3 linked regions of the Drosophila melanogaster genome follow. The gene in region 2 interacts genetically with the main gene of each other region. Each region holds a gene or a part of one and is shown on either strand. Other genes may lie near its edges.

Region 1 (7,626 bases), on a different chromosome or scaffold from region 2:
CACGATAACTCACCGTTCGCCGCTCTGAAGGCGATTGAGGAAATCCTCCTGCGATGTCTGGATCGGCACCAAATTGGGCTCCTCGCCGCGCGAAAACATTTCGAAGAGCGTCACGCCATAGCTCCAAACATCCGAATACGATGAGAATCTGCAGGTGGAGATGGCCTCCGGAGAGTACCTGACCAATGGAAAGCAAAGATATTCAGTTGCGATAGTGGCCTACCGTCAATCCATCTTCTTTTTTTCTTACCATCTAATGGGAATATCACGCTTGCTTTTCGCATAGTAATATCCATCGGAATTGGCGAATTGCGCCAGGCCGAAGTCTGAGATTTTGACGCAGTCACCATCGCCGTTGTGGTCCACCAAAATGTTGCGGGCGGCCAGGTCGCGGTGGATGAGTCCCATGTCGGACAAGTATTTCATGCCCTGCGACGAGAAGCATTTGGATTAAGTACTGGATCAAAAGGAAATATCTCTTCTAAAGTCGTAAACATGAGTTTTCTATACCAAAGTTCTTTTTTGTGGTTTTTTGTCCAAAATGGGCAGTTTTTTGGCCACATCTTGGGTAGTAGTAGCCCAAATATGGATTGTTATACCTCGTTTGGCTCGTAATTTAATTCCCAATCGATTGGGGTTCAAAATGGGAACTTTTAATTTTTTGCCATTTTTTGCAAATTTTGATGATGTTACCCCTTGTAAAAAATTCAAAAAAATGGAAAAATTTTGAATCCACCAAATTCAAAAAAAAAGAAATAGGATTTGTTAATTGGGATCATAAGCTTTTAAAAACAGTCATTCCCTTCGAAATTTGACCACTTTTGGCCAAGTTATGATGCAAAAACCCTTAAAATATTTGTAGATTTTTCTTTGAGTTTTCCCTCTTTTTTCCGGAAAACTTGTTCCGTTCTAAAGCCATATTCGAACCACTCACATTTGCAATATCTAAAGCGAAGCTGACGAGCCGTGGATTATTGAGATTGGGTGCCGTGAAACGCAGGTAAATGTCGAAGGAACCAGATTGCAGATATTCCATAATGATGCAGTGCGACTTCTCAGCCCAATACTTGAACTTGACTATGTTCGGATGACTGAGGGTGCGCATGATGCCGATCTCGCGATGAAAATCGGTCGACACCTGCATGGTGTTCAGCATCTTGATGGCAACCTGCTCGCGCGGCTGATCCTTGTCGTTGAACTCCAGATGACCCTTGTAGACAGTGCCATAATGACCGCGCCCGATCATGTTCTCCATGTTGTAGATCACTCGACATTCGCTGGTCAGCGGTATGACCATCAACATATTCGAACGCGGAAAGGGTAGAAAGGGTATGTCGCTTCTATCGATCACGGTCTCGTCTCCAGTTCCATCTGGAAAAAAAAATAGAAGATGAAATGTATGCCAATCTCGTAACGCTGCTTTCGTCTGCTCAACTTACTCGTTGCGATCTCGGGTGGCGGCATATAATTGGGCAGAATTTCCGCCTTGATCGTGTTGAGACGCGAGAAAATGTCGTGGTGACTGAAGCGCTTGGTCTCATCATCGGACCATCCATCCATGATTGTCTCGAATATCGGCGCCGGACAGATGTCCTGATCGAGCATCTTGAGTATGTTGCCATCGAGATTTTTCTGCCTGAGTAGCTGCTCCTGGCGCAGTGTGCTCAGATCTTCCTTGCAGCGCGAGAAGATCTCGTATATGGTGGTAGCGAAGGCCCACAGCTGGGCAAACTGATCCGTTTTGGCTGCTTGCAAATTGCGATAATACTTAACAGGTATCCATGGCGAGCTGAAAGTGGAGAATGAATGATGTTATTTAAAATGCTGTTTGCTTTTTTTTTGTTTTATCAAAGAGTATGACCCAACCGAGAAGATGATTAAGTTGTATTTGTCGGCTACTCACTCGGATTCTCGGTAGGGACGCGGATAGCCGGGATCGCTAATTTTCGCGTCTAGCACGTACGAATTCGGATCGTACTTGGTCACGTACAGATTACTGCATCGTATGTAATTGTGGATAATCTTGTTGTCCTCCAAATAGTGCATGCCGCGCACCAATCCATGCATCAGATCCAGTAGACAATGCAGTGTTACATTGGGCATCGAGTGCAGGAACTTATTGAGCGGACCATACCGCGAATACTCCATGACCATTGTGTACGGATCGGCGAGCGTTAGGCCGTACAGCTTGAGGAACTGCGGCGACTGGATGAGGCTCCAGGTCTGTGCCAAGCGAAAGAACTCCATGAAATTGCCATCGCTCTTTAGCATTTTCATCGTCACGGACACATCCTTGACGGGACTCTGTTGGATCCAATCGCCGCGCATCGTAAACATCATGCCATCGTCGCTAAGCGATATCGAATCTGCGCAAAAGACGAGCGATTAGAACGAAGCAAGGCATTAGAATATATAGTATGACCCACCTGGATACCACTGCAGATCCGTTCGGGGATTGAAGATCTGCGGATTGCGGCGCTGCAGCTCCGCCTCGCTCAGCTGGAGGTCAGTCTTTTTGGCCTTGAGGTTCTTTGGCAGCAGCAGTAGCAGCAGCGGCGGCTTGTCATATTTGGAGGCGGGTATGCGATAGCGATCGGGACTATCCGCTTGAATGATGTGCGCCACTTCGTGCAGTGAGTTTAGTACATGCTCGCCGTTGTTGTAGCTTAGCTTCCATTGCGAGTCCTTGCGCACGATCCTAAATGTCTCCGTCTTGCAGCGTTCCTGATCGGTTTTCTTGGCCATGCTGCAAAGGTGAGCGGGATTTTCGCATGAGATAAAACCGATCACATCTAATTTGGGCATCATCAATCACACACACACACAGGCAATCATCAGTAAGCGAAACAATTGGCCACATAGCGCACACAGCATTTTTGTGTATCATGTGGCATTGCATACAGAAATGTTTGTAAGCCTGATAACCAGCGAGGAGGAAGTAACTGATAACTGTGTGAAGGCGCGCATGTACTCACATTTTGGTGTTGATATCGATGTAGTATATGTTGTATTCTCGATCGCATTCACGCACAATATAGCTGCCGCACTTGTCACCGTTCTCGTGCAGCTTCATCAGCGAGTAGGCACCGCCGATTGGACCATGGCAGTGGAGGGAGCTCAGCTCCTCCAGGGAGGGCGTGCGGTACGAATGGCACAGATCCTGCATCCATTTGCTCGACAATCTGCAAGGAATAAACGGATGGCAAATACGAGTTATAAGTTGCGCACATTTGTTGCTGTCCATTGGCATTGTTATTATTATTATTATTATTATTATTATTGCATTTGAAAAGTGATTCTATAGCTGGGAATCAATTGTTTCAATTACGTACATATAACTTTATTGAGTTATTGAGAAGTACTGCACATTGACGCAGGCGATATAAATAGCAATGTAACATTTAAAACCGATTAGTGCGTAATTATTTAATCAATTTAACTGAAGAAATCTTCTGAAAGCATTTAGTTTTAAATTTCTTGCTTGTTTTAATTTTAGCCTGATAACGAAAACCGACTTTGTGTGTTGGATTACAAAACAAACAGGGACTTGGTTTTAACAAACTCTTTAAACAAAAAAGCAAGCATTTCAAGCACTGTATTTAATCGTGTTATCAAATGTCATATTTATGTGGGAATCATTAACTTTTAAGTGGAATTATTATGTTATTAAATGAGTTCGTGGAATTGATGACTTGATGTTTTTTTTTTTAAATCAATGGATGTTAAAAAAAACAATTGAGTAGTTTGATTAAGAACATTGGGCACTGATTATTGTTACACGAACACTACAATGAGATGCCTATAAATTCTGGTGAAAAAAAGACCAAGCAAGTTCGGCTTAAAAGATTAAAATTTAGTTGGAAGCGAACTCTTTGGGATCTAAAGCTCACCGATTACAAGTGAACCACTCACCTGATGTAGATACCCAGGTAGGAGATGAAGGACTTCATCTCCTTCTCCGTCTGAAACTGCATCTCGTAGCCCTTGGGCAGACCAACGATTTCCAGCCGCACAGAGGTGTCGTTGATTTTGGAGATCATAAAAATTCCTTCCACGGCGCCAACAAGGATCCACTGCAGAGGAAATGAGGATTATCAATGGGATGCTAGTGCAATTACATATGGTATGTATGTATGAATATTTCAAGAATCTTTGCCAGCGATAAGCAACTTGATTACCAAGACAATCGCGTTAATTAAATTGAGAAATCTATCAAAATGTTTTTTAAATATTATAATATTAATGGTATTTCCATATTTAAAATGGCCAGCATTAAAATGCGCATTTCGATGGGAAAACCACAAGAAACCATATAAGATTTCAGAAGGAAACATAGTGTGTACCTTGAGTGTGGCCTCGGAGGTGACCCTGGCCACCTTGAGTCCAGGCTCCAGGGAATCGTGTGGAAAGACTCGCACATAGACATCGATTCCACCGCTGGTGGAACGTCGTTTGGCCTTCTTGCCACTGCCGCCGAGTGCAACGGAATTGGTGTTGGTGGTGAGCGTGGACAGAGTGTTGGTCGATCCAGAACTGGCCAGCGTCGACGTCGAGTGGGCCAGACTGGTGCCGATGGGTCCGCTACCGCGGGCCACCTCCTCGTTGGGCAGATACTGAACGGTGCAGGTGAACTGTTCGGTCATATAGGTGGGCGCCAAATGGGATACCTGATGCACATAGTGCCACTTCAAACGCTCCACACTCAGCGAATTCGCTTTTAGACTGCGGAAAACCTCACGTATCTTGGAGCCCACAAAGAAGCTGTGGGCGCGCCACAAGCTCGGTGGCAAATACAGTTTGTAAAGCTTCTCGATGGAGCGCATCGCCTGCTGATCCTCCGACTGTTCCTGATCGTCGATTAGCATATCCATCACGGCCAGTCCCGTTGATTTGTCCTTGTGCTCCGGATAGCGAATCTCCGGGATTTGCTCGGTCCGCATATCGTAGCGCATTTGGCGGTAGAGGAACTTGTGGCTCCGTCCATCGATCAACTCCAGCTGGCTATCCAATTCGGGCACACGGAAACGCATCCGAAAGCAATAGACCAGCTGGCAGTTGAGTCGCTCGCCGGGCAGGCACCACGTCAGATCCAAACGCACCAGCGGCGAGGGACGTCGCGATGTCGAGTGCTCCCGTATTCCGTAGAGCAGCTGGGCAATTGGTGCAATGCCCAGCTGGCGGCACATCGTATTGCAGATCTCCTCGCACAGCATGTTGGGATGGAAACGCTCAAATTCGCCGGTGGTGAAGTTGAACACACGGATTGTGCCATCGTTGGTGTGGATGCTCTGCGAGGAGGTGCCGCTGCGCAGCGAGGAGTTCGTCAGGCTGGCGCTGTCCGCCAGCGAAGTGCGTCCGCTGCTGCTGTCGTCCATTCTATCCTCTCCCCCGTTGGCCAGGGCCATGAGAGGATTGTCGGTGAGTGGTCCCTTGTGGGCTGGGTGCTATCTGCTGCTCCTGCAAGCCCAGTTCCTTGGCTGGAGCAGTTTCCTTACGCGGCCGCACTGAAGCTAGATCATGGGAGCTTTCCTAGGAATTTGCCGCGTTCTATCCGTTTCCTCTTCTTCTTGCCAATAACAATGACCACCGCGACTGACTTGAGTTGCTATTTTTGGGCTTACTGCGAATGCTCCTGGAATCGGCGATGCTCTTACCCTTGCAGTTGCAAGGTTGCCCCAAACTCCAGCGCGAGTTCCATTGATGCCACTGGCGGGGAACCACCTGGACTGCTCCTTCTTTTAGCAAGCGCCAACTTTCCGAGCAAGAACCACTTCGCCACTTGGGCGATCCGTCAGCAAAGTAAACTGGAAATCGGAAATCACAGTGCACTGGTCCGAAATTAGACACCCGAAACGCCAGCTAGATCCCGAAATTTGTGGGGCGTTGTGGGAACAGGGCGACGGGACTGGATGGCGATTATAGACGCCTTCGATCTGAAAGTGGGCCTGCTGTCGAAACGAAGCTGCAATTGCGAAGCTACAATACAAGCCACGAATTTCAGTGAAATTCATCGGACAATTTGCACCTCACGATATCGATTGGCCGACGGCCGAGCCACTTTGTCATCGATTGTCCAATAACCTGTACTATCGCACCTTGCGAACCAGTGGTTGGCAACGCGAGGTTCTAGTTCTTTTTCGATAGTTCTCAGTAAATATAAATAACAACTTACTTTAGAAATGTATTCTTGAAAATTGTATACCCTCGTTGGCAGGAGGAGGATGCTTAAGAAAAAAAAATATACTGTTATTTGCTCTATGGCGTCTATATTCTTGCCATTTAAATATGACAACAGTGCAAACAGTGCAATATGCACGGCATTTCCAGTATCGAATAGCTTTGCTATCGAATACACATCGATTTTTGTAATTCCACAGTTCACAGCTGTCAGTGTCGTTTATATAACCTCAAACCTTAGAATATATGAAATTCCGGACGAGCCCGGTCAATTTGTAGATTGCTCACTGAAAATCACACGATGTCCGATTTTGAGAACCTTTCCGGCAATGACAAGGAGCTGCAGGAGTTCCTCTTGATTGAGAAACAGAAGGCACAGGTCAACGCGCAGGTGAGCCGGGTTCCCCCATACACATAATAACCATTCGTAATCATAACAATATGCCCTCGCACATTATATCGTCGCCAGATACACGAGTTCAACGAGATCTGCTGGGAGAAGTGCATCGGCAAGCCGAGTACCAAGCTGGACCACGCCACCGAGACGTGCCTGAGCAACTGCGTCGACCGATTCATCGACACGTCGCTGCTTATCACCCAGCGGTTCGCTCAGATGCTCCAAAAGCGAGGTGGCGGCGACCTGTAGATTTGTTCGCTTAATCGACACCGACACCGGGATCTGGGTATCCGAGTCCGTGGACGCTTCCGTCACTGTCCTACTGTTAAATCTATTTTTAAACAAAAAATTATCATGTAAGCACATTTTTTTCCGCGCTGCGTTTCGCCGCCGACATCCAAAGTATGTGGCCCGTAGTCTGCACCCAGCCCGAAATTGAAATCCGTGATTCGAGTTCCGGAATTAATATTTAATTCGGTAGCGCAACTCAATTGTTTGGTCGGCCCTACGTTAGCGTACCGAAAATAAATACATCTTTCGTTTCGTACGTTTAAAATGCATTGTGTTGTAATCCTTTGCTTGGATAGTTTTAATCTCTTCTTTTATAATGATGAAATATTGTTGATAGATGGCTTAATATTATGCAGAAAGGAAAATAGAATTGAAATTGGATCATTTCAACATACATTTAAATTTAATTAGGCTGGAAAGGGGCTTAGAATGAAATAGTAGGTGTTCCTTAAATGTTTATTAGAATAAATAAAGTTATTCCATATCGATAGTATAGTGCTTCCACTCGATAAGTACCTATCGGCAACTTTCCAATTGGAATTCATATTTACGCAACTTTGAACACACAAATGTAGCTGCCATTTCCTGTATAAAATGTAATACTAAATGTAATATTAATGCATTTCTGCTAAATCCAAAGGTAATACTTGCAATGCTTGCGGACCTATTTCCCGCGCTCGCTTTGAACGTTTGCCCAGGACTTCTGATTGGGCTGCACACGCAGCGCGCCTCTGGTCACACTGATCCCAACTAGAACTAGT
Region 2 (5,015 bases):
TTAGAGTTGTTATCATATTGTCAGTAGTTCCCATGGTTATACCGATCCATTTAAAGTCAGAAGCCGTCGTTAACGAGAACTTATGGGACAGATGGCGTCGCTTATCTCGCTCCTCGTTTCGTTGCGGCTTGTTGAGTGCAATTGGATTTGTTGAATACTGGTTGACATAGTTCTTAAATCCTTGCTCCATGCCAAGTTTAAAATGCAAAGTACCATTAGTCAGCTGATTGGATTTTTGACGCGTGACCATTTTACATTCTTCTTGTTTTTTTGTTCCCTCTATAGATTGACTCTCAGATTTAGCATCACCATCTTTTTCATCCTCGTCAAGCACCTCTTTCTCCAAAAGTTCATTTTTAGCCTCTTGTTCGATTTCGATAACACTACGCTTCGTGTGTTTGTGTTCATTGGTTAAGGTCTCAGTCAGTTTCATTTGGCGCTCGATTTCGTCTCTCCTTTCTGTAATCTGGCTATGCAGACGAGTTTCCAGTTCTTCGGCGTCCAGTCGACTGAGCAGCAATTTTAACTTACTTGTCGTACTGTAATACCAGCATGTAAAGTTCTCCTGATCCTCGATAAAAATGCGACGTGCAATAAACCAATATTTGCGCCCATGACGATCAACACCGAGGCTATCATGCCGGATTAGCACGCCTTGTTTTTCTTGTGGCAACACGCAGTCCACTACGCCACTTACCTTATGCGAGCGGCAAAGCCCGCACTGCCAATCCTCAGTAGGTACGTCATTCATTGGCGGGTCTACACATTCCAAATGATAGACAGCAGGGCACGTCTCGCAACATAATAAATCACCGAGCCGATGGCACACTCGGCAATGGTCATCATAATGAATAGGTCCCTCCTGCAGCATTACATCTCGTATAGAATTGGAAGTTAAAAATTGATCTGACAGAAACTGGAGCACTTCAAGCCGGTTGTCAATGCCCGTGTAAGGGTATTCAGTGTGGCTTAAAATGTGAAACACGTTGCGATCAAATGTCTTATCGCTTTCTACATAGCTTCGCAAAACTTCCGGCCACGTTATAGAGTCAATCAGGTAAAGACTTATATTAACCGTATCTTTTTGATCCAGCGGGCCAAAATGTGTACCCTGCGCGTCCTCTTCTCGAAGAATCGCTTTAAGCAGCATTATGTGTACCTCCGTCAATAATGCACTTTGCTCCTCACAAGCCAGCGCTGCACACAAGTCTTCAAATCGGAATGGTGAAAGGCGGACCATGTGGCGAAATCGTCGCAGTACTTCATAGATACTTAGCGCGCGCAAAACGTGTGTATTAGCAATGAAAAGATCCTCCGACGAGTCCGGCAAATCAAGCGCTGCATACTGACGACCTTCCTGCAGCCACACAGGTTCTGGGCTAGGAGGACGTGGCGGCCGACCAACTCCATTTTGGTTAAAGCTGCACACGGAAAACTCTGATTCGCTCTCGTTGGCTACTTCTAGGCTCTCGTCGTCGCTGGGAGTAAGCAGCATATCATCCTCATTATCGGATTTATCTTCTTCGGAATCCCCAAAATCTGACCCGTAGTGATACTCCGACTCGTACCCTGAAAAGAGGAACAGTAGCTCTTAGAACCAATATGATTTCACCAACACCTAAGTGCATAAAACCTGACATACTGTCACTGCTATTGTGGACCCAATTTCTACTGAATTGTATTTAAGTAATTGTTATTAAACTCATGCCAACTAGACTGAAAGATTTTTTGTCGTAAGATTTCAAAAATAATCGTTGGTATTAGAGCAGATAGACCTATCGAAACTGACTCGCCCGGTAGTGGTTGTCACGAAAATATTAAATTTGATCTTTTATGAAGCGGAAGCTCTTTAACGCACAGGAAAACTCGTTTGAAGTATGAGTACCATTCAAAACGATCAAAGTTTTCTCCACTGCAATCAATATATGGCACATTATGTTCCCTATTAATCTTCGAACTAGTCAGAGCGAAACTGTAAGTCTTGACTCCCAAGTTAGAGTTTAGGTGCCCCTTTAACCCACCTTTCCTTCCAGAGTAGCTACTGGTGTTCGGTTGCACGGCGGATTTGCGGCCTCGTCCCCTCTTAGCGGCGCTCCCGCGACTGCGATTGGTGTGGTTGTTGTGGCTGCTCCTGCTGCCCTCGTCGCTCTGTGGAGAAATGCCCCTGGATGCCGACGGAGTGCTGGGCTGCGACTTTCCCTCGCTGAGATACTTCGGCTTCTTGAGAAGCTGGTAATTGAAGCGTCCTGATGCGCGTTCGTTGGGCGTCTTTGGCGGACGTCCACGTTTACGGCTGCCGCGACCGCTCATCTTGTTTGTTTTCGCCTTGCGTATTTATCTGGCTGTGTGCAGGGGTGCGTGGGGGTACTCTCCTCAGATATTGTTCCAAGTTAATGCTGCGAGGCTGCACATTAGATCTGAAACGAAAATTAACCCATTAGTACACGGTGCCACAGGAACGCACACCGCATCTCACTCGCACTCAGCTAGCTATGTATTTACGGGGCACATTCAAACACACATTTACTCAACAGCGTATGTGGGGGAAAAATCGATCAGATCGTCAAAAGTTTGTCGTTGGGTGTTCACTTTCTTTGTATTGCGCAAATTTGGAGTTGAAAAAAACCCGCCAAAAGAGCTTGTTTAGTTCAGAATAACGGTTCCGATTAAATACATTAAGTACATGTATTCAAAACACATTCTTGGCTTCTAGTGTTGGACGGCAAACGCACTGGACAGCACCACCAAGTTCGATTGTATGTGTGCGAGTGCGATGAAATGAAGCCAACGCACATTGTCCGCCATTTAAGCAACCGTGAAAATTTTTGCGTCTGTTTAAATGTCACTCTTCTTTCACAATTAACACATGGATTAACTGCGCAAATTACCCAGCATGTTGCGGAATAATTGCACAGGATTTAACACGATATATTCTAATATTTTTAACTATCTTCAGCACACTGCGAAAGAGACTTTTACCTAACATTACAGTTTTGAACATAGCTAAAGACGGTGTACAGTCGGCCAATCACAGCGACTCTTCTATTGCGTGAAGTCAGAAGCGTCCTCTTGCGGTCGGCTTGGAGAACTAATTCTTTATGGTTGCACAAACGATATAGGCAGGGTTGCTTTTGGCATTTACGCTGAACCGCACTGACAGATGTATTTTTATTTTTATCGACGTGTTGAGCGGGCGTTTAAAGAAAACCCGTTAACTTGTAATCAAAATAAACTTACCTTTGCTCACTATCTTAAAAATTAAAACGGTATTTTTGATGCGGTAAAAAAAATGTATTTTTTTGTAAATTTATTTTAGTGTATTACATTCTACCCAATTTCGCATTTTAAATCCTGGTGATCTCATTTCGTAAATTGCCGACCACGAAAAATCCATTAAAAATGTTATCGATAATAAGTTGCCGTTACGATTTTTTGTTTACTGGGAAAGGTTTTTATATTATTATTACTTAAATTTTTTAAAAAATTATTCTAAAAATACTAAATTAAAGTATTTTAATTGTGTTTGTTGAGAAATGTGTTATTGTTAAAGAAATTAGGGTAAACAATTTGCTTTGAAGCCCTGAAAACATCGTTATCTTATCGCCTGCACAAAGTGATTCCATTGCAGAATTAAAACTTCTTTTTCGCTAGTATTACTTTATTAATCAAGCTCAGTGGTTGCATTTTAAATAGCAAGCATAAATTATTTGACATGTACGTAAACAATAATTGCCATAAATAGTTTATTTTTAAAAATACAATAATTGAATAAAATATGATCTAATCAAATAATCAGTGCGCAAAAATTGACATTTAACGCGGTTTTGTATAAGTTGATGAGTGTAATTTTCCGAGTATTGATCAATTCTAAGGAATGTGCTACCACATTCGTCTGACGTCATGTGTTATATTATGATAACGCACTCTACTGGTATCTTACACAGATAAGATAGCCCATATCTTACCAGTTCCCACACCACCTAACTAATGTCAAAATTTGGTTTGTTTACATACTTTCTGTGTAAACGAACTCGGCAATTTTGTTTTATTCATTTTATGCTATATATTTTTTGTAGATTGGTTGAAAAGGCAATATGAATCTAGGCCACTGGAATTTTCTCCTAGCTCTAATCAGTTTACAAACGTTTTTTAACGCCTCCGCACAGATAAGCACTGTAAATAACAGTTCGAAGGGATCAAACAACTCAAAGTAAGAAATACTCAAAATATTTGTTTTCGAAAAATACTAATTTTGGAATCTTTGCATTTTCTATAATATATTTTGCTTTGCTTAGTATTTTCCATGAAGACACATTCAATAGCACTTCGATTGACGTTCTGGACGCCTCAATACATTCAACACTGGTTGTACCTCAAACATATTCGACAGAAGCTGCAACAATATCAGGTGCTAGGTTCGCAACCTCTGTTCCTGTTCAAAGTCCTGTAGACAACCCGTTAGATCCGGCGGACTGTTCTCAACGGGAAAAGTACAGAAAGCAACCAGTTGCAACACCATCGTCTCGTTTAAGAAAATGCTGCCCACATGGAGAAAACTTAAATATATATCGGGAAAATCAAAGCGATTCGATGTGCGACAACGGGCTCTTAAGCTTCGAACCGACTATAATAAGTGCAGTTCTGTTCGATAACTGCATTGAAGATTTGGAGGTTGAGACTACGCTCGACTACGACATTGGAAATCCGTGCAACAGGTATGAAAGCGAATGTTAAATTGAATCAAAGTACAAATTCTTCTGCAAAATTAGTTCTCTTTTGTACGACGACAAAGACGATGTTTTCTTTGTTCTGCAAGACGGTTCGTTATTAATCATCGACAAATTTGGCAACGAATCATACACTGTGAAGGAACATTATTGCTTGGATATTGATAAGTCAGGACACTTGTTTGCCTTTACATGTGTAACCCAAGTGGAAGAACAAATTGCCTTCGCAAAAGTAAGTCAATGTAACATTATTTTCTATTTACCAACGGATGAATATTATTTCAGGTC
Region 3 (4,864 bases), on a different chromosome or scaffold from region 2:
GGAAAGTCATGGAAACTCTCTGTCATTGGCGATTGTCTGCGAAAGTGTTGGCAGCTCGACTTTGTTGCTGGTCTGTGAAAGTCCACAAGAGCGTCGGGGAGAAGGCACAACTCATTCCAAGCTCGATTGCTTTATGGCAGGCTACTCTTAACCGCACATACACAAATTAGGTCCATCCAGACCGAACGGGAAGGAAAACCAGCTAGAAAAGGCTGACAAGATAAGGCACTCAATGCAATTGATACAAGAGCACATACAATGGCACCTGTTTGCCATTTCTGCCATTCCCGTTCCCCATTTCCATCCAGGGGATGAAGAACGGAGTGGTGTTCTGTCTCGTGACCCACTGGTCTGCACCCATTAGTATCGTCGCCCCCAGACGCGGTTACATTGAACCTTTTTAAAGGGGGGTTGTGTGTGACACTTTGGAAACAGTTGTGATATAAAATAAGGTATTTCGATTATCCAGGGTCATTTTAATTCGTGCGGATTTGGTAGTCATAATTGTTGTTATGTCTGTGGTAGGACTTTCAGAACACTAAGCAGATCTTTTGATCGTTTCCATTTGCTTGTATAATTTCTTCATGTCAAAGTCATTTAGCTAAGAACCCCAAACTATTGTAAAAATGCATAGAGGGTTCGACATAAAAGCACTGGTAACTCGGTTTTCTCAGCCTGGGCGAAGCCACAACACTGAATCCCATGTATAGACATACATGTGTCTATATATTTGCATAAAATCGCATTAAAATTTGCCATTTGGCCACTTTAATGTCCCATAAAACATAAACAACAGCAGCGAAGACGAAGTTGTCGACGCCATAGGATATAAGTTACTTTTTTTGTGCTCTTTGTTTGTGTCCAGAAAGTGTAGCAAAGAAGAAATAGCGAAAAACTTAATGTGCAAAAAGCAGTTGGAAAAGAGAATCTTTAGTCGAGTGCTTCGACTAAAAGATACCCGCTAGCACGTTTAAAACTAAATCTACAATTCTGAATTATGTGCATCCTGTAGAGGAATTTCATTTAAAAACCCAGCTTAGGGCTTTTGAGCTTATTCGAATTTCTAGGAGCTTTAGATTGGACTTGGCCGAGACTAAAAATAAACTTGCACAGCTCAGTCATCGTTAGAACTTAAATGCTGTGTGAGTAAAGGGTATCAAAAAACAGAGCCATGAAGTCGAAAGTTTAACCAGACCCGCCCAGGAAACGAAGGCCAACGGGTGGCGGTAAGTCTGTGTCGTCGGGGGGATGGAACAAATTAATTGTGGGAGAGTCAAACTAATGTTGGGGACTTTACTGGAACCTAAGCGCAAACCTAATGCTGTTACCTAATGCCTCATTAGGCGCTTTAAAATAGGGAAGCCCAAGCGCACAAGAGGACTCGCCTTATAATGTATAATAATATATCGCAGTACCTATTAAACAATATACCAAAAATAAGATAAATAAATACTACACATTTATTGTAGAATTGAACATTTAACAATTGAAGTCATTGGATCCAAAAAGTGAAGTCTCTTCAGACGAACAGCATTTACATGTTCCACAATTTTACCTTCTCCAACACGATTCAAGTGCCCAATCTGTATCGAATCATTTTTGAGCGTTCTTTCGGCACTTAATAAATCGAATACGTTTTACACCGAATTAAACCTTATCAACAGAATATATGTGAAAATCAGAGTAAATCTGTTGGCTGAATTCACTGAATGCCCACTTGAATTTATGGAAATACATGCCAATTACGCAGTCGAGTGCTTTCCTAGACCGACATGCACATATTCGTCTACACCGGGGATCTATGGTGGCCCGAAAGAGGCTTGATTATGTTTACGCAGGCGAAATACACAATTTTCAACGTTCTGTCTTGACCGTCTGTCAGTTGTCATGACCATAATTAATGTATTGCCAATCGAACCCCCATCCCAAGCATGTGTATCTTTTTGGGACATCATAATGTCTGTATGTACAGCATGTATTCAGCTATGCGAACATATGATCTGTGTATCTTGGCATTGAAAAGATCTAATGGTAATGTAGTTTTCATTTCGGCTGGATGAATAAGAAATGGAAATTGATTTTGCGCACGCGAAGTGACAAGTGCGCCAAGACAAACACATTAGGGCCTGAACAAATCGAAAATAGTTTTCGGCTCCGAACAGCGAACTTGTTGCCTAACTCAGATCTTTCGTTAAGCAGTTGACCACAAAATGTTGTTATGGAAAAGCGCTTGGTTCTATTGGATTCCAAGGTGCCCACACTCACCATATGCGTCGATATAGTGCGCCAGTTCTGCTACTAATCCACAAGTATCCATGGGCCCACTGCGTATTTGAACAAAAGGTATTCCAGTTGACAAAGCACTATTTGGAATGTTGAGTAAAATCTTTTCACTACCTTTATATATATGTAAGGGGATCGGGATCCACGGCACAAATCCCTCACTCACTCGCGCACTATCTTCGATATATGTACATATGTAATATTGTGGATGCGGAAAAAGTCTCCGGCTCCTGGCAAAGCGGAGCTAGCGTTCCACAGACCACGACTAGACGGGCGTCTTATGTCTGTGTGTCACGTTGCTGATGTTTGATTTCGAGTTCTGGCTTCGTTGTTTCCTATTTACATTTCGATACCGCTGTATTCCCTCAGCCGCAGTTTGCACTATGCAGCCGCCATATAATATCTGTACAAATATGAATATATGCTCTCGATTTGCGTTATTTTAAGAACTATTTCCTTTTGCTTCTTCACCACTTATGTATGTATTTTTACTATTGTTTGAGTTTCAGCTACAATGCATTTGCACTTTATATTAATTTTTGCCGATGAATTGCACTTGTGTTTGTTGCGGTTGTTGGGGGAACTGGTATTATTTGGGATTTGTCTAACAATTTTTCATAAATATATGTAGGTGTATATGTGATTTAAACATTATTTGGTTACAACATTTTGGGGGTTTTCGGTTTTGAAATGTAAGGTGCTTTGGGAAACCGTACTGTTAGGTTGTCGTTTTCAATTGTGTGTGCTGTATTTTGTATCTTGTTTTTTGACGAACGCGATCGGGCTTCGTACGTGCGAGCGAACAACCGTTAACAACAAAGTCCAAAAAAATACTAAATCAATGAGCGAGACGAGCAGAATGTTAAACGCTCAAACTCACCACACTGGCACGCACACCAAAGTAAACTCACCAGACACGCACACCATGGCGCTAAAAGAGCGAGAGTTAAAAGCGGAATCGGCGCTAAAGATAAATGTGAAACGCAGGCAGCACTCACTCACACAGCCACAGACACACACTCTGAGCAAGCGGCTTGAATGAAAATGCCGATGCAATTGCAATCGTGGAATACTCTTTGTCCGCTCTCCGGCACGTATCTGTGAGTTGTGTGCGAGCGTATATGGCCGTGTATGCGTGAGTATGAGTGCCATCATCGCTTTCATTTCTTGCTGCTTTATTTTCGGTTTTCTACATTTATTTATTGTTTTTTTTTTTCGTTCGTTTTCGTTCATCGCTACTTTCGGGTGCACAAGTGCAAATTCACACGTATGTACGTACATTTGAAATATTCTCGCATAGTGGGACGAAAGGGTCCATAATAAATCGGAAGGAGTGCCACAACTTGCAATAATTAAAAGTAGGATAAGTTGAAATATTTAGCTTAAATTACAGTCTCTCTACTTCACCTTTTCGATACATTCCAAGTTTTATTTTCAATAATCTCTAACATCAATTGCATTTTTCAGTGTCCCTTTAAACTTTATTATTTGAATACATATATGTAGCAAATATCTCAACAAGAAAACAATGAAAACGTTTCATGTGGCCAAAAATACTTTCTCACGTCAGCTGAATGAATAATAAATAAGATCGAGTTAGAAAACCATAGAGAGTCCTCCGAAGGACTGTTTTCCATTCGTTGGAAGGGAAATCCACCTGAAGTCAGTAGACACCGCTGTTTGAAGCAGAATATTGACACTACGAGACGTAATTGACGGAAAGGAAAAAGATCACCAGGAGGGTAAACAGAACGCAGATCAAACTAACAGCCACAACAGTATCTATGAGTATGTACGTATGTATACATACACATACACGTATCACCGCCGTCTGCTGGGCGACGTATAAATTGCACGTTTCGAATACATTGTGGTTAAAAAGTCAGCGCAAAGCGAGCTGAGATACTCAGATACAGATACGCACACATCGCTGCAGATAATTGTTTGCCCATCCCTTCCCCCCACCACCAGCCCCATCATTCGAATCGCTACGTATTTACTTAACGTCGCTGTGTGCGTTGAGTTGACGCTGGGCAAGTTCAAGTGTAGAATGCAATAGAGAATTGCATTTGCCAGAGCGAGAGAGACGACCTCGCTCTCTACGCATACGCATAGAAAAGCCGGCAAAATGCAAGGGCAAGGTGGTGCGGGACTGTGGGGGTGGTCGTACTGACGGTGACAGTGGTTAGCATGTGGTGAGTTTCGCTCTGTTTGGGGTTGGCTAGACACATTGAACCACAAAAGTTCAAGATGAAAACACAAAATATCAACAATGACAGCTGAGTAGTGGGGACGGCAGCGGCTTGGTGTCGGGGGCGTGAAAGAGACTTTGCCTCTCTCTATCTCTTCCTATGTTTCTCTACTTCTATTTGTTTGGGTATACCAATACAAACACAGCTGCAACCCATAACTGCGTCTATGATGATTTTCTTCTCTTTCGTCCTTCCCCACATTCTCCACTCCTCCACACGTCTCGTTCCCCTCTCCTCCACTATCCTTTTCCCTCTTGGCCGACTGCCAAACGACTCTCAGTTCAGTAGTACACTGGAGCAATTGCTTAGAGTATGGGTGCAACATGTAT

The links. Genes that interact genetically often act in the same process or in processes that back each other up.
Region 1: of E(bx) (region 2) and hop, changing one enhances a phenotype caused by changing the other (phenotypic enhancement), as found in Drosophila melanogaster (2 studies listed by BioGRID).
Region 3: of E(bx) (region 2) and EcR, changing one enhances a phenotype caused by changing the other (phenotypic enhancement), as found in Drosophila melanogaster (one study listed by BioGRID).

The regions. Positions count from the first base shown.
Region 1 is NC_004354.4:11,362,058-11,369,683, forward strand, and holds the start of hop (hopscotch), read right to left. Parts: upstream 6,042-7,626; 5' UTR 5,406-6,041; coding exon 4,344-5,405; intron 4,074-4,343; coding exon 3,913-4,073; intron 3,183-3,912; coding exon 2,976-3,182; intron 2,747-2,975; coding exon 2,427-2,746; intron 2,367-2,426; coding exon 1,904-2,366; intron 1,790-1,903; coding exon 1,440-1,789; intron 1,372-1,439; coding exon 935-1,371; intron 430-934; coding exon 251-429; intron 179-250; coding exon 14-178; intron 1-13. Other genes in the region: Tim8, read left to right, coding at 6,479-6,568, 6,647-6,823. UniProt on the Drosophila melanogaster protein: Tyrosine kinase of the non-receptor type, phosphorylates the marelle protein. Required maternally for the establishment of the normal array of embryonic segments: involved in the control of pair-rule gene transcription in a stripe-specific manner.
Region 2 is NT_037436.4:243,907-248,921, forward strand, and holds the start of E(bx) (enhancer of bithorax), read right to left. Parts: upstream 3,007-5,015; 5' UTR 2,477-3,006; intron 2,418-2,476; 5' UTR 2,311-2,417; coding exon 2,022-2,310; intron 1,570-2,021; coding exon 1-1,569. Other genes in the region: mthl14 (methuselah-like 14), read left to right, coding at 4,095-4,210, 4,296-4,715, 4,770-4,959, 5,013-5,015. UniProt on the Drosophila melanogaster protein: Histone-binding component of NURF (nucleosome remodeling factor), a complex which catalyzes ATP-dependent nucleosome sliding and facilitates transcription of chromatin.
Region 3 is NT_033778.4:6,128,801-6,133,664, forward strand, and holds the start of EcR (ecdysone receptor), read right to left. Parts: upstream 3,042-4,864; 5' UTR 2,318-3,041; coding exon of another isoform or gene 2,266-2,317; intron 1-2,265. UniProt on the Drosophila melanogaster protein: Receptor for ecdysone. Binds to ecdysone response elements (ECRES) following ecdysone-binding, and recruitment of a complex containing the histone methyltransferase trr, leads to activate transcription of target genes.